Astyanax mexicanus: one gene and its partner. The protein of the gene in region 2 interacts with the protein of the main gene of each other region in a biochemical or structural test. Links are inferred from orthologs where the notes say so. Each region holds a gene or a part of one and is shown on either strand. Other genes may lie near its edges. The genes, in order: tln1 and ret.

Region 1 (10,842 bases), on a different chromosome or scaffold from region 2:
CAATTCATGATTCAAGCCACAGCAGCGAGATATACATTACTCTAAAAAATATTTTGCAAATACATTCTGCCTCACATAGATGTCATGAAAATTAATACAGTGAGTATTTTATTTTATATCAAGCATTGTAGCAGGACATAGACATGGATATGCTGTGGATAGATATGTACTCATCTTTTAGAAAAAAAATATCTGTTTGTGTTCATTCAATTTTATTGCAATATTAATACGTTTGTATAGAATTTCAAAACACTATTCTGCTACAGCTCTTTATATTGGCATTGTTACACTCCTGCTACACAGCCAAATAGGCCAGACAAAGCAGATTAACACCCCCTAGTTTTGAATCCAGCGCACCAGGTCCCACCCTGCAGCTCATCTAAATGGGCTACCCCTGGGCAGATTAGCTCATCTTGCATAAACCAAAAGGCAGAACGAGACAAAATTGAACTGAATGCTCTTTCAACCACCTAAGAAAAGGGAAGAACCCATACAGAGAACGCCTGAGGATGAACCACCCCAAGACCCATGCAAACCATTGAGGCAGCATAACGACTATGCCACACAGTCCGCTGTCGGCACAATGTGGGTCAAACTGCATGGAAATTAATTGCTGGTTCATAAAGCAATTTTGCAGTGACAACACCCGCTAACCTTGAATAGATAGATGAAGAGATATCTGCTGAGTGACGGCTCTGCTGGAGCGAAGTCAGTGTTTACTATGATAATTACACCCTACTGGTTAGCAGATTACATGTCATACTTTGATGTGGGTAACTGGAACATTTGGCAAAAACAAAAATGTGTCATTCCTGACAAACAATGCCAAACAGTCTATTTCAAAACACTTTCACATCTAGTAAGAACTTTAGTATTCCAGGTAGGATAATCCATCAAGATAGCATATCTTCTAAAGCGAATACTGTATTTTTGCATGCCGTGTCATACTTAATGAGGTAGTTTCCTGGACAAAGATTAACCCTAGTTGTATACTATATTTTCTTTAAATGGGAAATCTCTATCTCAAAATGCTGTGTAGGCTAAAAATCTCATTAGCATCCTGCCTATCCCCTTCCCTTACCCAAAATGTAAGCGATTGGCTAAGACATGTTTAAGGTCTGAAGCTTGCTTATATTAATTTAACCTAAAAATACTGTAATACTAAATTTACAGTGCTAAAAGTAAGTCTCTGACACTCTAATTCACACTAATTTAGATGACTTCAGTATTTACACTAATAGCTAAAAAAAAAAGACATGTCTTGGCCAATCTATCAAGTTCGGGGTAAGAGAAAAACTGCAAATTTAACTTCTGGCTAAATCTTTTCTTTATGTCAGCAGTGTATGCAGGCTGAACTGTTCAGTAAAGGTGTAATTCACAGTTGTACATCTTTACACTCTCAGCCTCCTAGACTGTTTCTCCAAATATGTGCAGACTTTCCATCCCTGCAGGGTGCATCTTTTCCTCTGATATCACCCATCTGACAGCTCCTGTGCAGCCACACATACGCACGCACACACACACACTCTGTTGTGCCACCCTACTACCATGCAGGAAAGCATACAATGAAATGAAACATGGTGATAGGTGGCAGGGTCAAATTACTACTTACATTACCTGGAACACCAAGCCCAGCTGCACCAGGGAAATGTATTTGTATACAAACAGGGACCAAATATGTGTAGAAAAATTGAGCACATACACAAACACCCAATCTCTCAACAGTTCAATTGTACTTATAGGGAGGCGGTCTCCTCTTTGCTGCTTTAAAAGCTTCTACTCCTCTGGGAGGGCTTTACACTAGATATTTGACCACTGTTGTTATGACTGCACTGAATCACCAGAGTGCTAACTAGTGAGGTAAGGTACACATGGCACCATAGCTCATCCCATAGGTATGGCATGAGGCTCCATCAACCCAGAGAGATGAGAGACATATAACTTGCCCCTCAAGATGTAGTGATTACAAAGACAGTCACAAAGTAAAATACATGTTTTACTGTTTTTAATTTAGTATTTTGAAGGTCTTTTTGTTTAAAAACAAAGTGTACATACCAGTCAGCATATAGCATACACTCTGTCTTGAACTTATTTGACATGTTGGACATCCTGTAGTTACAGTACGCAAGCACACAGTGCAACCGCTGAGCAACTTGTTTAGGAAAATTTTGGAAATGTCTATGCCTACAAACATTATGGAATATATCATATTGATTTATGCAGTTCTGTATAGGATTGTATTGTATTTTGGAATGTATGCTTAAGCCTCTTTTAAGCCACTTTTTTTGTAAATACAGAATCCCTTTAATTTTTAATGTTATGCCTCCATTAAATAAAATAAGAAAGAAGAATTTGGTTTAACATTCTAACTTAAGGTGAAGTGATCAAACAAAGCCACATAGGATGCAATACCAGTAATTTACTTGATGAATATCGTGTTTAAATAACATTTTAACTTTTAAATACCTTTTAAGATAAAATATTTAAATATGTATATGCGCAGCAATATGAAGTTAAATATTTTATTACATACATAGATTTTAATTTACATTTTTGCTTATTTAAACACTGTTTTTTATTTGTTGCCAACATTAGGCAGTCAAGTCTTAAGACATTGGACATTACAATCGTAAAATATCATGGTACTATTACTTTGGTACTTCTACGTAAGGTGTAATTTTTTCAACTTTAACACGGGTAGCCACATGATTTAGGCATTTCGTCCACCTCTGTCTAACCTAGCTGAGACTGGCACTGGTCATGATGACCTTAGCCTCGTGAGTGGCTGCTCCAGAGTGCCTCATTCTACCGGTAATGCTCTTCTATGTTGGACAGTTAGCTAGTTAACCTAGTGCGCACACATTCAGTACACTTTATTATTACTATATATCTCTCTCTCTCAGTGCCCTATTCAGTAACTAGTTAAGTTCACTAGCTGGCTAGCTTTGTTAGGAAGTTTTTTAGCATTATAACGCTTGAAATCATAGCTACATTAGCTAATTAGAGACACATGATCTCCAAATCTATGAGTAAGCACTGAGCTTCAGACAGGAGGTCAAGATGAGCTGTACACTTGGCAATACTTTCTAGGATGGCGGCTATTACACGTTTGTTAAACTAGAAACGTGACATCAGGCATGAAGTTGACCGTTACAGGCCCGAGCTCATAACTCAGCTAACATAGGTTAGCTCACTTAAGTTAAGCTGCCGTACTTGACTTTTTACTCCCAAACTCTCATTAACTCACACAGTTAACGTTAGTGTACTTTGTATTCGGGCACATTACAGCTATTGCCACTCATAAATACAATTTTAACACAATATTTTAATAATCAAAGGTTAACAATAGGCTTTCAGAAAGTATGAGAACTGTAACGCTAGCTAATCTTCCGCGTTTCATATCAACAGGTTTAGGTTTAGCCAGTAAACCGTTAAAGCTGAGAGAACCTAGCGTTAGCTAACTAAAGTTAGCTCAGCATTTCTGCTCTCATGTTCTCCAGCTCTCTCATTCCTCACAGCATCTATTTTGGAATTTATCGTAATTTAGTCGAATAGTTCTGCATTAAACCCATAATATGACAGAATAAAAGTAACTTACACTACTCGCTAAATAAACTGCAGAGAAAACGCGTTGACTGAGGGCGACTCGTCGGAAGGAACTTCCCACCCTTCACAAAGTTTTCACCAAACGTTTCTTTCCACAGACAGTTTCCACTTCGCCTTACCTCCCCGCTTTCCTCGACCTCCGGCCGTCCACCTTCGGACTACAGTCGGTGTAAATATAGTCCCGTTCCCCAGTCAAAGTGGTGTAAGTTCCAGAAATGTTGGTAAAATGTCAGATTCTGGGTTTTTTCCTTGCCTCCGTTTGTCTGGTTGAGGCAGCGTCAAAGCTCCACCCTGCAGCAGCAGCAGCAGCCCGGCTAACGCTATTTTTTCCCACACCCGTATCCGCACAGGCCACGCCCCTCCTCAAAAGTGATTGGTCGTTCAGCGACTAGACTCAGAACTACTCATAGACGTGTACATGAAAAAGTAGTATAAGAAGTACCTTTGTAACGAATATCTTATTTTATAAACGTGACCAATTTACTTGTTTTCTGTGAATCTGTGAAAAGATTTTCTTTATTTTTTTCGTTCTTTCTGTCTTTCTTTATTTATTATTTTCCTTACTGTAAACCAAATATTAACCATGTCTCTTATGGACGTTATTGTTAATTTGTTATTTCTCTAGTGTGAACCAAACATATGGAACATGTAAAAACCTATTTTGTTCTTACCACTAGGTTATTTATACATATGTGTAAGTTAGACAGAACTGCTCCTAACTATTAAGCTTAAGCTTCCTTTAAACTAATAAATAACCCTCCAAAAAGCAACAAATGTCTGATATCTTATGAAACGTATGTATAACTTAATTTTGTTTTTGTCATAATTTATGTATATTTATATTTTCTGTACCTTGAATATCCTCATAATTTATATGTTGTAATTATGTGTGCAGCATTTAATATCTATTACTTATACTGTATAACAATAAAAAGCTAAATAGTTTATTGTTAAAAGTAAACAACAAAAATGATGTGAAAATGTGAAAAGAACATAAGCCTAAACACGCAGATAAAATATATATTATTTATTTAGTGATTTAATTAGTACTCCACTTTAAAAAAAAAAACAAGTATTGCCACAATAACCCAGCAAACACACAAAGTAGTTAAAACGTGGTTTCCTCTAACAATGTTGCTACAACATTGTTTAAAGTTGGCCCTGTTCATTGTCACAACTTTGTTTAATTAGGCAACACTCCCTCTAAGTAATAAGACTACAGTACCTTTTGACTTTCTGACTTTCTTAGATGTCGGTCATGTTACATTATGCATTATCTGGCAACAAAACACATTCTATTTTAGAACATTGTTGATGGCACAACGTTGTGACAAAATAATCAACATAACCAAAACAACCGTGTTTTTTTTTTTTTTTGGTGGGAACAAGCTAAAATAAAGAGGTCACAAGAAGATTAGAACTGCAGTAAGAGAGAATAAAACGTCCTAGTCTGTGCCTCAGCCAATCTTATTATAGGGGGGCGGGGCTTGGCGGAATAGGAGTGGAGTTAAATTATACCACTCTGAGCTATGCAGACAAGCAGAGGGCGTAGATATGGTAGATTTCATAAACCGGATGCCTTTTCACTCAACAACAAAAGCCAGCCAGGAGGGGAATGTTCTGCAGATCTTCACAGATAGAGAAGCAGCGGAACGATACAGTTCACAACTTTCATTTTCTCTCTTTCTTTCTCTTCTATTGTTTCTATTTTTCTGAGAGGGGGCAGCTCATGTCCTCCACAACAAAAAATGCCAGAAATTGAGAAATTTTTGCTATTGCTATGGTGGTCCACTAGAACACTCCACTGCTGATAAATAATGTGGTTTATTTAAATTAAAACATAAAAGTATAGACGAAAAACTTAAGCTCAGCACTGCAGCTCTTCCTTTCGCTTTTACTCTGGAAAACAGGCCCACTATTACAGCTCCATCCTGTGGTCTGATAGTAAAACAGCAGTACAACAAAGTTCTGTAAACAGAAAATAGACTCGGTTGTCAATGGAGGTCTATATAATCAGACAAAACTCATTAAAAGGTTCTTGAGTTATGACTTTCTGACAACACACCAATCATATTTCCAGCCTAATCAAGCACTTTTTAACTTCTTAACAGGCAAATATTTTTTTTAATTTTCTGCCTGATATTATAAGACTAAACCTTGTAATAGCATTACATAAAAAGGTTTCACGTGTAATAATAAACGTTACTGCAAATCTGAATTGTAAGTGTAATAGAAATTATTTTAAAAAAATTACTTTAAAAAACTTTAAAAATATAATGAATAACAATCGTAACATTGGCACTTTCCTTAACTTCATTTTAAAAATCACTATTTTCCAGAATACAAATCAAACATTTCATGTCCTCCAAACTTTTCGTTTCATTACAGTTGTCTAATTTTTGTCTACATTCAAACCTGCAGAATTTGGGGTTAATTTATGTTACTGATCTAAAATGATAAAGTAGAGCAGAGAATGAACAGGTAGCTTCAACAAGTAACCTGTAGGAGTCTCTCTAAAGACCACAAATTTTTCAGAATGTGAATAACCTATTTTACTGCAGAGAATAAGGATTTTGTATCATCTACACTCGTAGCCTGTATACGTTCCAAAGCCTGTAAAGGGGTTAAGTGGCGGGGTTATTCCTTAAATATAATTAAATAGCTTGATTTTTACGAAAATTCTCTTCAAAAGTTCAAGATATGTCTTTAAAAAATGTGTTATTTAAACACATTGTAAAAAGCAGCACTGCAGGCATGGCAAAAACAAAATGCATAAAAAAACTGTTGCATAAAGCTTTACATAATTCTATAATTGTAATGCATCAATTCAGAGTGAATATTAATATATATTTTAAACAGCTGAGTCATTCTGGTCTAATTATGAAAGTAGATTTTTGTCTAAATAAATGTACAAAAATAAATTAAGTTTGTAAAGATTTTGTACACAGATTTATTGTAGTCTTCCTCTTATTACAATAAAGCGCTTTTGGAAATGTTCCAAATCCACATGAAAATATAAATTCTAGGGTTCCCTATCTTAGAAACCTACCACATATGACCATAACCTCATTTTCTGCCAGGCGCTGGCCTACCATTCCCCCAGCAGTGCAAACTCCCAGTTGCCACACCAATCAGCGCCCCCTGGCGGCCAGGTGTTGAACGCCAATTTAAATAGCACAAGCAGAAATCTCCATAACTTTATCCACAGCACGTCCTAAAGCTGCTGCCAGGCCACCAGGCACAATGGAAATCAGCTGGCACAACTTAACCATGTGGATAAGCTACAATACTGATGTTCCTCAAATAATGTAAATGTAAATAACGGGGACAAAAAGGTTATAATTCTGATCTATTGGCTCATTCACAATTCTTTGATGGGAAGGGAAATCTAAATATTAAGATTGATTCATTATGGCACAGCCGAAACAATTCAGTGTTTTATACTTTATTCAATAATTCTCAGCAGGTGGACAAAAAAACAAACAAAAACAAAAAAACACAAGCATTTATTTCTTGTCTTTATTAAATGGCACAATCTTCAAAATTTTATTTAAAACAAAATATGAAAAACAAGCAATAAAAGTGCATTCTGAATCTGGATTGTTTGAAGCTGCTGGTCTATTGGCATAGTTTTCAGCACTGCTACAACACAACTTGCTGATTAGATAGTAACATGAATGAGTAGATGAACAGGTGTTAATAAAGCTCTAAGCAAGTGCAAAGTGTTATGATGCCGTTGGTCTTTTAAAGTAGAAGTGCTTCAGTAGAGCATACTAAAGGAAATCTGCAGAAAAAATTGAAGTTTGCGTGGATTTAAAAAATAAATAAATAGAGCTAAATATCAGCATGAACCGACTCATCAACCGACTCATCAACCGACTCATCAACCGACTCATCAACCGACTCATCAACCGAAATCGGGTTTAACGTTTCTTATTTTCAAATCAGCGACATGGAACAATGCATTGACATCCCGAATTTCCATTTTAATCCTAGTTACTAGCAGTTACTACTGTTTAAAGAGAGATGTTCAGTAGTCTTACTAGTTAACTAGGTTCTATGATTAACTTAAGTTTGTAGTAAAAAATATATATAATAATAATAATAATAATTATTATTAGTTCATTAAAGTTTGACAAATTAAATTATATAAATAAGGGTTAATTAGCTAGCCAATTTAATTTCATACAACTCACGTTAATGTTTGATTGGTAGTTGATACTCTTGGGTAATGCGCATTACTAGCATAGCGTTTACTGGGCTAAAGCTAGTCTACGGCCTGAGGTGTGGAAACTAGTCATTATACACAGTTTGTCACAGTTTGCTGTTAATTAATCTATTCTCACCAGCTGTGTGAGTGACTCGCGGTGTAGTCTATTTACTTTATAAACAGATTCTTAATTATAAGCAGAAAACACCTTACTTACGCCCAAAACCTACTATTAAAACCGTAGCTCCACGTCGGGACAATCAGTTGGTGCCTACTAATTAGCTAGTATTAGCTAAGTTTGCATTGGATTGTTAGCTAGATGTTCATTAGAAGTCTTAACTAAAGAGCTCAGTGGTATATAAACTACCTGCCTGGCGTAACAACTACCCAACCATTTACCTGGTAAGATAACGGTGTTCAACAAGACCTACACCTGAAGAAAACCGAAAGGAATAAACTTAACTGAGAGAGGGGGGGGCTCCGTTTTCATGTCCTCACTACTATAAACTACGGTGGCCGAGAAAGCCCAACGCAGTGCAAATTGAAAAGCGCTGCAAAAGCACAAAACACATCCATCAAAATTACAACACAGGCGCAGCAAATAGAAAAACGCGCTGCAAATAGAAAAACGCGCTGCAAATAGAACCACAACACAACGGAAGTGAGTCACAACACAACGGAATTTTCCCGGGGGACCTTAAAAGATACTGTACGTCTCGGACTTCACTATGTGTACAAAAGACAATAAGTGGCAAACAAGGCGTTTTGTGAAGCAGAACTTTTAATAATATGCACACAACCGTGGCAATCACAGGTAATAAACATAACTTACTTTTCAGAAGCTTGTTTGCCACTTATTGTCCTTTGTATACAGCTGGTACAGCATCTTTTAAGGTCCCCCGGGAAAATTCCGTTGTGTTGTGACTCACATCCGTTGTGTTGTGGTTCTATTTGCAGCGCGTTTTTCTATTTGCAGCGCGTTTTTCTATTTGCTGCGCCTGTGTTGTAATTTTGATGGATGTGTTTTGTGCTTTTGCAGCGCTTTTCAATTTGCACTGCGCTGGGCTTTCTCGGCCACCGTAATAAACAGCGTTCTCACTGATACCATCAAACCGGTGATGCTGCTGGATATCCGTCTTTAAAAGACTCGATTATTTGGTCGCGTCTAGAAACTTTAAAAGTTACTGATCTTTAGCTAAGCAGTAAATATATGGCAATGGTATAAATACTGGCAACTGTAGCGTGTTCTCTGCAAAGAGCTGGAATTTAAATGAACAATTATAAAGATTGACGTATATGTGCAGACTGCTTGCTGCAGCTGAGCTGTGATTGGCTGGGCAGTGTTCGGGGATCTGAAAGCGAGCGTTGTGATTGGCTCAGTTCATCAGTAGCCAACACACTATTAAAAGGGATCAGCTGTCCCATTTCCTCAATTGATGATACATCTCTCCGTTCTTCATCCTTCTCTCCTTGACTCCTCTGTCTTCTTCTGGGTTGGAGATTCCTCTACCTTCCTACTCCTCTCCTACCCAGGAAGAAGGCCGATGAATCGAGGTGAGAAGAGTAGGAGGAGGAATGGAAATAAAAAGCAGTAACTGGGGAAATAGGATAATCACTTTTAATAGGATGGAAATGCAACTGGACCTTTCACATATTTTAGTTATTAATTTTATTTCTCTTTACATCAAAATAGTTCAACAATGGGTGCTATAAAGAGTGCTAGAAGAGTCTTATTTAACTGTTCCTGATAAATACCAATACCAATAATTACTATACTGTTAGTATTACTTACTAATTATAATGTAATCAGTTTATTATTTACTTTTCTGAGAAATAAATAAATACATAAATGAATGAAGCAAAGTGATATGGCTACATTAACAAGAGTCTTTGATCCAACAGGTCTGGGATTCAAAATTGAATCTTGAACATTAAAAAATTCAGGAAAGAGTTTAAGCATTTAAATGCCTCTACACTGAACCCATCAGTACCTAAAATCAAACTACAAAAAAACTTTTTATATACTTTATAAACACTGTTAAAACAAAATGAAAGCTTGAAATTAACACATTTCTTCACAGATTTATGTAAAATATAAACATATTTTTTAAAAATACAGCTGCAAAAAATTAGTAAGATTGATTTAAAAATTAGTCAGCTGTAATCACTAGTGATGGGCGGATGAAGCCTCACTAAAGCTTTTGAAGCTTCTTCCTGATTCGAGGCATTGAAGCCTCAGAGAAGAGTGACATCTAGTGGCTAAAATTATCCTGCACTTTACCACGAAGCAAATTAACCCTGTGAGATTTACTGCTCACTCAGTATCTGTTCTGATCTGCTGATAACCCTCTTTAAATATTAAAATTATGCAATAAATACTTGGTTGTTGTCATTATTGAAAATCATAACTAATATAATGTTTAAAAAATATATATGATTAGAAGTATGACCCTGGCATTTGAACGAGTGTTTGTGGTCAAACGCGCCACCGCTCCTTTAAAATATAAATATTTTCATTAGAATAACACACTATACAGTTAATGTTAATTAACAGAAGGTTTTTTTTTATATATTTAGTGCTCACCCTATTTTTTGCTATTTCCTCAAAATGCTCCTAAGCAATGGAACGCTTGGTTAAGGTGGAGGTGGTGAAAGATTCCATATTGTTTGCAAAATCAATAATGATACTGTACAACACAAACGAGCCATCAAGAGTTTTACTGCTTTATTAAGTAGTCAGTGAGACATGGGATACCGCCAAACCTTTTGAACCAGTCCCGCCATTTCCGGTGGTTCATTGACGCGTTCGAAACTTCAAACGCCAGTAGCGACTTTAATACAAGCTCTGGTACATTGTGTCCAATCAGCACGTGTCAGAAAAGTGACACAAGCTTCGAAGCCTCGGGGTCAAACCGCCCATCCCTAGTAATCATGCGTCACTCCTCGTTTTTATGAATCACTGTCATCTGTACAAACCGGAGATATTTATTACTAGAAATGTTCTTAAGCAATAACCAATTTAGGGA
Region 2 (10,960 bases):
ACTGCTTCTAATCATGTTTACATCCGGATTAGTTCCTGATCAAATCTTAGTCTGTTTTAATAACCTAAAACTAAGGTTTATGTGTTTGTTACACTGTAAACATTTAGTCTGGTTAGTTAGTCACATTGCATTTTAGTCAGTGGAATAAAGGACTTAACTACACCCTGTCATTATCACCTATGTGGGCTGTGTTTCCTTAAACATTACACCAATTAGTTTGTCAGCTCAGTTTCCAGGTGTTGTACGGAATCTGACTCGCTTCCAAGTACACATCCATGTCATCACCCAGCAACAGATTACCCTCGATCACTTTTTATATATAAGAATTAATCTAGGGTTAGGGTTAGTCACAGGAGTAAATGTTTGCACACAAACTGCTAGCAACATGAGTGCATGCAGAGTTGGATTTGGATTTTGGCACAACGCTGTTTTTTTTCTTCTCTTTAATGAATAGTTGATGATAGCCTGTCTCAACTTCCCTAAAGTCTAAAACATCTAAAAAAAAGAGCTTTTACGCTACAAGCAAACCAAACCATAGTCCAGGTCATCTGGACTTTGACCACCTCTTTTGGACATATAAAATGTTGGTCTCTTTCCTGGTTACTCATTTGTTATCTGAAATTTGCTGTATTCACGATTCAGAGTCCCTTTCGACCCACATCTTCTACTAAACCCTTGTCTCAGTCCTAAGCAGGTCCTTGTTCCGGTCTTAACTTTTGGCTTGTGTTAGCTGCTTGTTCCATTTCTGTCTAGAAACCAGTTCCAGGTCTTGTTGTTGATCCAGCCCTGCCACTAGGTGTCCTATCTTACACAGTGGTCCAGGTCTGGTCCGAGCCCTCCCCGCGATTCCAGCTTTGGTGCTTTAGGGGCTGCGCATTAAGGAAGGGTTTTCTCACGTTGTAATCACGATGGTTCTGTTGTTCACAATCAACCAAACTGGTTGTACACCACAATGGAGCCACCCTGAGTGCGGCTGCTGATTACTGTCCTCACCTGTTGTTTGTGTGTCCATGTATGCATTCTCTGTTGCTTTCATTGTTTTCCCATAAAGCTTTGCACTACAGTCAGTCTGCAGTGTTATCCCTGCAAGCAGTGTTATCCCTGATTTTTCTCAACCTGTTTGTCTTAGTTTGATTGTTGGAGTGTTATCTTGTTTTGTTCTAACTGCCTGTTTGCTTGGTTTGGAATTGCGGATATGCCTATGTTTACCCTGTCTGCCCCCCCCCCCCCCCCACACACACACACTATGCACTGCTACAGTGATTTCTGGATTAAACCCAATAAAGTGGCTTTGCTTTATGCTCTCATCCACTGCAGCTTGTCTTGTACATTTACAAAAGTGACTAACCTTAAACAATAAATGTATACTTATAATAACTCAGGAACTGAATAACCTTTACAAACATTACACACCTGATGAAAACATAAAATAGATATGTCCTTCTCAATAGATAAGGGGCAAATGAATGTTTTATAAAAATATAATCAACGAATAAAATACTGCTGTTGTGCAATCTGAAAACCTGCTACATCTTCTTCAGCACACAGGTTTATGTTTACACTGAAAGCTTAGTTGCCGTGTGGCTTGAGTCCCTGTACGTTTACTGAGCTTACATTACGAGACCCTGTAGTGCGAGCTGAATCTGAACCACACATCCATGTCTGAATTATTCAGTACCATCAATAAACTGTGATACTCTATACAATAATGTAATATTACATTATACATATCGTGGCTCTAATTCTGACTGTGAACTGCCCTTGCTAAACTAAAAAAATATATATAATATTTCACATTACTCATTTTATAGTACAGACTGCATCCACGCTGGCCTACTTTCAGTATCTCCTCCCTCGGTGTAAATCAGGCAAGGAAATATAAGTCTTGCCGTTGTTTATCGAGAGACTGATAACCTTTACAAATGGCTCCTAAAAACTTGCATTTCCATTTGCATATAAATTGAAATGGAGTTCACCACAAACATGTCTCGCATTTGTTGCTGGTCTTTACTGAGCTAGACTGTAGCACCTGTCATCCTTATAGTACAACTCTTTAGACACTGCAAGCTTAATTTACCATTTACTCGTCATCAGAATCACAGCTCAACCTCTGCTCTCCATCACATGCCATAATGAGGTAATGTTGAAATGCAGCGCTCACATGCATGCACATACGGTGGCATGCTTTCTGAAGGACCAAAATAGCAGAAAAAAAAGCCTCTGCTATGTACTGCTTTTGCCTACGTTGCCTACATTCACACCGCACCAGCATGACTCTTCTCTTTTAGTGTAAATCTCTGCTCACACTGTGCCATCTAAAAACTCCCGAGCTATGAGTTAGAATATAAATATAGTCGATTTGAGAGGGGAGTGTTAGTACAGTTGGACAGAGGGTTTTAAATGGGATTATAATATTATAATATATAACAGTGTGCATATTGCTTGCGGGAAATATGTGGCATACTAGGTCACAAGTCCTCTGGATTCAATGCAGCCTCTCACTTACAGAATGGAAGAAACAAATCCCTGAACATGCAGAATGGGAGAGCACGGGAGGGAGATCTGGGAGATGGTCTAGGATGTATTTAAGCCTGGACACTGCAATGCCTGGCTGTAAAAATAAATAGGCTGCAGTATAAATAGACTGTCTGTTTTTTTCATAACCACAATGTGCTACATAACTCCATTTATTACTTGAGGGGTGTGGAAATATATGAGGAATTAAGCTTTTGCAGCTTTGTATGGCTAATTTATTGAATCCGGCCAATTAGTATCTTAATGGAAGTTCTAAAGTTACATTTTAGATATATTAATGCATAGATCACCCTACAATACAAAACATGTAACTGCATACGCTCTCTATATGTGACAATTAAAATATGGCCTGCCATAAAAAATTATGTACAACATGTGTATGTACAATTACCTCAATCATTTAAGCTGAGCTTAATATTGGACATTGTGTTTACTTAGCCCTCTATGGCATTGTGTTTCTCTTAAACAACAAACCAGATTTTACATGCCATATGATTCAATACCTTATTGTTCTATCTATCTATAATATAATGTTACAAGGTGTATCAATGTCTTATACAATGAGATGTACAATTATTTACAAATTTATATGTGCAAGAATATGTAAAGAAATATATTTAGCTTTTTATATTATTACAATACTCTTAGATTGTTGTTGTTAACTTGAAAAAACGGTGTATTTATATCTGTTGCTTTGTGCAGTTCTCATCTCTGGTCCTGGTGGAGACCATCTTCTATCTTCTACATGTTTTGTGTGCTTTCTTGCTCTAAAACGCCTGATTTAAATTATTAGCTTGTTATCAAAAGTCAAAATCTAAATATAAGTTATAGCTATATCTACAGGGACTCCCAAACTTCCAAAAATATATATATTTCTCTCTAAAAAATAGAATTATTGCCACAGAGGGTTAAGGAGAAGTGATCATTAATGTAAATGAGAATGGACGTCAACTTTATTCTTCTTTTTTTAATTTCTGATATTTTATTTAAATATTCTTATATTCTAATTATAGTGTCTAAATATTGTTAATAGTTAAACCTGCATTTCTTTTTCAAAATAAGTGTAGAAATGCTTTATATCAGAGGCATTAACTGATCTTAAAATGACAATAATATGGACAATATATCGTCAAAAAATGGCTATCGTGACAAGCCTAACAATTACGGTAAAAATAATAAGATAGGCACGTGAAAATAGACTGTAAGGAATCTGAATCAGAACTTGTTTTAACTTCAAGGAGAACAAGTGTAAACGCGCCATAATGCCAGAAAGAAAGCGCGGCGCCTCTAAAAAACGCTAAACACGCACAACTGACTCGCTATATAATAAAACACCACAGAGAAAATACTCAGCACTCAGTAGGAAAACAGAAGAAGAAATGAAGGAAATAGCCCATCCTTACCTTCACACAGCAGCAAGAGGACCACAACAACGTCCCCCCTCAGCGTTCCGCGCGCCGTGCCCATACTTATCACTCATAAGTGGGATTTCTGATTCAACAGACTAAATCAACCTGATGATGAACTGTGCCGCTACCGCCGCCGCTCTGAATTTTTTACAAAAAAAAACAGAGCCTTAGGAATTCAGCCGTTTAACGCTTTTCGCAGGAGCCAAAAAAGTCCGTAGTCTGAGTATCCCATTGACGAGTTGGTGAGTGCGGCGCTAACGTTAGCTGCGTAGCGTGTGTGCGGGGCGATGCAGGGGGAGGAGGAGGAGGAGGCTCAGACCACACTCACATCCTCAGCTGGGTTCTCCACAGCATCACCACCACCACACACAGAGAGAGAGCTTCTTCCCACAGAAAGTCTGGAGAATCACAGGATGATAATAATAAGGAGAAACGAGAAAACCGAGTCTGATAAAGAGTCTAAACAAATGACTCGGAGTGTAGTGCATCACACTGACACACACAGTAGTTCAGCTACACTGAAAAAAAATATATATATTGTGTCAACTTAACTCAATTCATCTTTTATCTTTGACTCAGTTAAGTTGTAAATATATACAAAGTTAAGTATTCAACTTAACTGAGTTAAAGCTAGACTTGAATCAGTTTAGTTTATTCAACTTAACTGAGTTTTGTTCACACAACAATAGTTTATGTTAGTTTTAGTTAACTTTATGCCACTCCTGGTGCAAAAAATCAAGCAGTTCAACTTGGTTTGTTGACTTGTGATCATCCATCTTGATTATATTCCAAAGGTTTTCAATTTGGTAAAATCAAAGAATTGAGCTGTCAGTCTCTCATTATGTGACCTTTAATAATTGGGGTGTTTTTATTGGTTGTTTTGTAATCATGTGTGTTTTAAAAACTGGAGTGTTATTAGCTTTTGTCTTTTAAGCCTGATGAAGGCTTGAGTGCTAATACGCGTTGGTTATCTTTGTATCTCTAATAAATCTGACATTCTCCAATCAGCAAGTGCTGTTGTTTTTTCTTGTGACTAAAACACAAAATCACATGTTAAAGTGAACTGTTGGAGAGACTTCTGTAGGTAAACTGTAAGAATGTAATGAAAGTAAGTGATACACAAATATACAAACATATACACAAACAAACATACATACATACTATATAATGCTTGGTAGTTTATAGATACATGCTAAAAAAAAGGATAAGGATGCATGAATACAGCAATCTGACAGTACACATTAAATGTTAAAATGTGATTGAGGTCTTAAAGGAGAAATCCAGTGTGAAAGAGACTTGGGGTGTATTGAAACATGATAACGACTGCTAAATTTTGCCTACATTCATTCTCCCCCTGGATTCCAAAATACAGTAATTTTAGCTGATGCTCCCAACAGGCTTATAATGCTAGCAAAAGGAGCAATGTATATAGGTATATTATAAGTATTCCAGCTGTTGCTATCTTGTGCTTGCTAATGGTGTAAAAAAAGAGATTTCTTTGCATGGGCAGCATCGGCTAAAAGCATCCTATTTCTGAATGTTGGGGTTGAACAGAGGTGGGCTATTTAACAAAAACATTTATTCATACCAGTTTTCACTGCACCCCAAGTCCATTTTACCCTGGATTGTTCCTTTAACACTTTTATCACATTTATATTTAGTTATATTGTCAGCAACTAACAATGGCTATGGCTAAAATGGCTAAAACATATACGCCTTTGTATATATTCTACTGGCATTACTATTTATGCTTGTATGTACAGACTGCATGTCTTTATACAGGATATAACACACTGGCCTTTAGTTATATAAGTACAAGTATAGTTTTTCGGTGTTCTGCATATATTAGATTCCTGTTATTATATCATGGTGCATTGTGTCCCACTCGGGCAGCCTTACTATTTTAGGCTTTTTAACATTGACTTTTGGACCAGTGCAGCATATTGCATTGTTTAATTATACATAATATGTGTATTAATATATTGAATGAAAATGAATATTTTAGTTGAATTATTTACAGTATGCATGTATGTCTGTATGTATTTGTATTTTATATAAAATAATTAAATATACTACACTAATTTGAAAATTGTGTATTGTGTGCGTGGATTAATCTTTTTTTATTATTCTTATTTTGTATTATATATAATATATAATATAAAAACTGCACAAATATAGTGATAATTTAGCATTTTTAGATGTAAATGCTGTTGCTCTGAACTTGTTTCAGTAGCTGCTGGGTCATGCCTGTTACTCTCTGGTTGGCTGATTAACTCATGGCGCATGGCGATGTTTTTTTCCCGCCAGTATTTACACATGCCCCGCCTCCTGCGTTGGGATTGGATAGGTCTGCCCCACCGCCTGCGCTAGGATTGGTCCATTAGGCGGACTGTTTGTGAGGGTGATCTGCTATCCAACCCTGGAACAGAAGAGCGGGATTTACCACAAAACGGGTGGATAAAAAAGCAAGACCTTCTATCCACGTTGAGCTGGACAGCCATGATGCATTACTCTGCAATCCGTGTATCATTCGTTCATTTGATATTCAATTGAGAATCAAAATCGGAAAATTAAAAAACCAATTCGTTTTTTCGTTTTTCGTTTTTGAATATAATACCAAAAAACGAATAACGGCTTGTATTTTGTATTTTTATTTGGTTATCCAAACAAAAATTGGAAATTTAAAAAACGGACCAGGAGCCGAATTTGATTTTGATTTTGAACTTGACCCATTTGTGTGCCCCGGAAGTTACTGATTTGTTTATTCTTGGTGGGTTTCTGTTGCGCGGGAGTTCACTGCAGTGTTATCTACACAGTCTGTATTGCTGTAGGCTTTGGATGGAGTTGAGGATGGAGAGTTTTATCTTGTTCAGAGGAACTAAACGCGTTGCAGTGAAAGAAGACGATATGACAACAGAAAAAATCGGCAGGATCTTTCAGGTGTTTGTCTAACGTTCCGTAGCTAAATGTCATATTTAGTAGGCGGCAATTCACAGAATAACATTAACTAAATATGACATTTAGCTACGGAACGTTAGACAAACACCTGAAAGATCCTGCCGATTTTTTCTGTTGTCATATCGTCTTCTTTCACTGCAACGCGTTTAGTTCCTCTGAACAAGATAAAACTCTCCATCCTCAACTCCATCCAAAGCCTACAGCAATACAGACTGTGTAGATAACACTGCAGTGAACTCCCGCGCAACAGAAACCCACCAAGAATAAACAAATCAGTAACTTCCGGGGCACACAAATGGGTCAAGTTCAAAATCAAAATCAAATTCGGCTCCTGGTCCGTTTTTTAAATTTCCAATTTTTGTTTGGATAACCAAATAAAAATACAAAATACAAGCCGTTATTCGTTTTTTGGTATTATATTCAAAAACGAAAAAACGAATTGGTTTTTTAATTTTCCGATTTTGATTCTCAATTGAATATCAAATGAACGAATGATACACGGATTCAGGAGCCGAATTTGATTTTGATTTTGAACTTGACCCATTTGTGTGCCCCGGAAGTTACTGATTTGTTTATTCTTGGTGGGTTTCTGTTGCGCGGGAGTTCACTGCAGTGTTATCTACACAGTCTGTATTGCTGTAGGCTTTGGATGGAGTTGAGGATGGAGAGTTTTATCTTGTTCAGAGGAACTTAACGCGTTGCAGTGAAAGAAGACGATATGACAACAGAAAAAATCGGCAGGATCTTTCAGGTGTTTGTCTAACGTTCCGTAGCTAAATGTCATATTTAGTTAATGTTATTCTGTGAATTGCCGCCTACATACTTTTTTATATACGTGACTAGCTGGCTAACTAACCTAGCTAGCTAGCTGGTTAGTCTATACATGGTGTAGTAAACTTCTTCCCTCACTGTTTTCATTTGAAAAGGTACACGGTCCCAGTGTCACCAAGAATAAACACCAAGAATAAACAAATCAGTAACTTCCGGGGCACACAAATGGGTCAAGTTCAAAATCAAAATCAAATTCGGCTCCTGGTCCGTTTTTTAAATTTCCAATTTTTGTTTGGATAACCAAATAAAAATACAAAATACAAGCCGTTATTCGTTTTTTGGTATTATATTCAAAAACGAAAAACGAAAAAACGAATTGGTTTTTTAATTTTCCGATTTTGATTCTCAATTGAATATCAAATGAACGAATGATACACGGATTCTCTGCCTCCAGGGCTGGTCACCAGTCCGTCACACGACAATCACACCAATCGATGTGTACACGGCTGAACCCAGAGTGAAACCTATACTAAGCTAAAGTGGGCCTGAAATGTGCTTATGCTGGGTTTATTCTAGGACCCTGCACTGGTCCAATAGTCTACTGGCTCCAAACAGCTGAACTGTCTCAGATCAACCACAAGGCCAAGGTATTTGTTGTATTCAGTCAGATAAATGCAGCTGTAAAAATAAAACTGCTCAGCACACTAATAGATGCAGACAAATATTTCAGATATTCAAATGAAAACTTTTTTTTTAATAACATGCACAGACATAGGACAAAATATATAATCACAGGACCCAAAAATAATTGTAAAGAAAGTTTCATGTGTGGTAATCCACACATAAAACAACACATTAATATTAGGGGTGTGCCATATTGTATAGTACGCTATAATATTGGCAACATTTTTGATTATCGTGAACAATATTATACCCTGAAATATTATGCCATATATTACCCACCCCTAATTATCACATCAGGGTACTACTTTTTACGCTGTTTTTAGCAAAAGAAAAATTCACACTGTTTTATATAATTATATATATATATATATATATATATATATATATATATATATATATATATATATATATTGTTGATGAAAAAAAAAACACGCAACTTCAGAAATTAAGTGTCACATATGTCTGACCTCACTCAACTCCAGTGTTTAACATCAATAATACTAGACTAGATATTAAACTAGATATTCCCAAGCCATGCCATGAAGAAACACTTCAAGATCAGATACACACTGCTGTCTTATGACTTTTGCCATGTCATTCTATTTACTAAACTTCATCATAATTTTGTTTCTAAAAACATCTTAAACAGTATGACTAAATAATAAAATAATATGAAGAATAAATGATAAAGGAAGCATCACACCAAGGAATCTCTTTACATGTTAATATGATCTTATCACTAAGATCCATTTGAGAAACTGGACCCAAATTGTTGATTTGAAGATGCTCTGTTGCTTTGTTTTGTAAATAATATTTATCATTTATTGTAGATATTCTTGATATTGTCCAACAGAAAGGCATTGTTTACATAACTATACATAAAAGGGCACATAACCCAGCCTAAAAGGTCCATATTAACAAAGCTCAGATTACTCTACAGCAGGCATTGTGAGACATATGGCCAATGTGAATCAATACAGACAAGCAAATGCGAGGACAGATCCATGACATATATGACCACACTGAGTTTTTTTTGCGTGTAATATGACTGTGATAACATCATCTGGAGATTTGAGCTCATTCAAAGTAGAATATCACTGATAGTGATTGTGTTTTGTCTTTTTTTAGGGGGAAGCATAACCAATCGGTGCTTGGTTTAGTGCTTGAGCCATTTGCAGACTATGCATTAGACTCACGGTAGCTGAAATGACAATGATAATGAGATGTGCTAATGAGAAACACATTCCCATTGGGACCTCAAGCAACAATGATCATTAGTCCACTTCCTAAATCAGTTGACCAATTTACGTCCATCTTTAGGGCTGCTCAACTAATGAGGGTAATTTAATCACCTCAAAATGAAAAGCTTTCTCATGAACTGACAGAGAAGGAGGTCTTTGATTGAATTCATAAAACATAAATTCAATTCAATCTTCCAATGGAATATTTTTTTCACAATATTTTTACTGTAAAAATGTAAAGATTCAGCATTTGCTCCACCCAAATGACTGTATAAATGTAAAGTTTATACAGAACCATTTGTCATTTTTAACTTGGCAGTAGTTGGTACGTATATGTACTGTACATGATTTGGGCATGTACATATTTTGGTCCTATGTTTAAGACACTCTCTCTAATATATTTTGTGGAACTAATATATTAGAGAGAGTATATATAATATATTAAACATGCGGCTCATACATATGAAGCATCTGCAGAACTGCTTTTCATTCATCAAAAAGCAACCAATAAAGCAATATTAAAAATATATCCCTAAGCATCATTTGGTCTACTTATGTTCTTTTTTTTATTTATTTCTCACAAATCTAGAAAACCAATTACTCGACCCACTCACTAGGACCTCCCCTATCACTAATAATGCCCCCAACACTAGGAGGGTGAAGGTTAACACATGCCTCCTCAGATACATGTGACATAAATCTAGTAAGAGCATGGCCAACTGTGCTCGGACTCTGGCTGCTGATGGCCATCACCATGACCCAGGATTCAAACCTGCGAACTCTGGATCATGGTGACAGCAGCTTAATTCACTAAACCGATTGAAGCTCCCTTAGCTTACTTATTTTCAAGACATTACTCTTCTGGAATATACAATAGCTAGGATCAACTGCGCCAAAAAAGAACAATTGTGTTCTAGATAATTTCTGAGAAAGAACTGATATGAGTGTGAACTCCCTGTGTACCAAGGCCCAGTCTCATTTTACCCCTTGGCCCTACCCCTCTGTTTAGCACTTTCACACCAAGTTGTAGGGGGAGGGGGAAACAGAGTTTTTAGAGGCACACTTCATGTAGTGTGTAGACACACTATGTAGTTTTAATAATTTATGGCAATTTAGTTCATAACAGCATAAGAAAATCGCTAGTAGCACATCTCAGGAGCTAGTTAGCTAGCTATCTACATTTCCTGTTCCACCGTAAAAGATGCAACAGACAGCAGAGGCTGCACCATTTAAGGTTTAACAGAAAAGTAAAATAAAATAAAGCTAATTCTAGCCACTCATCACATGGGAATTAATGGATGGACAATAATAATTAATTTTTGCACCACCTGCCCCCTTTTTGACAACATACAATGCCCTAAA

What was found.
Region 1: the proteins of ret (region 2) and tln1 interact in a surface display test, tested with the Homo sapiens proteins (2 studies listed by BioGRID and IntAct, with this or other methods). The link is inferred for Astyanax mexicanus from reciprocal best matches to the Homo sapiens genes RET and TLN1.

What each region holds. Positions count from the first base shown.
Region 1 is NC_064427.1:27,067,298-27,078,139, forward strand, and holds the start of tln1 (talin-1), read right to left. Parts: upstream 3,921-10,842; 5' UTR 3,726-3,920; intron 3,696-3,725; exon of another isoform or gene 3,599-3,695; intron 1-3,598. UniProt on the Homo sapiens protein: High molecular weight cytoskeletal protein concentrated at regions of cell-matrix and cell-cell contacts. Involved in connections of major cytoskeletal structures to the plasma membrane.
Region 2 is NC_064414.1:37,610,618-37,621,577, reverse strand, and holds the start of ret (proto-oncogene tyrosine-protein kinase receptor Ret), read right to left. Parts: upstream 4,245-10,960; 5' UTR 4,003-4,244; coding exon 3,939-4,002; intron 1-3,938. UniProt on the Homo sapiens protein: Receptor tyrosine-protein kinase involved in numerous cellular mechanisms including cell proliferation, neuronal navigation, cell migration, and cell differentiation in response to glia cell line-derived growth family factors (GDNF, NRTN, ARTN, PSPN and GDF15).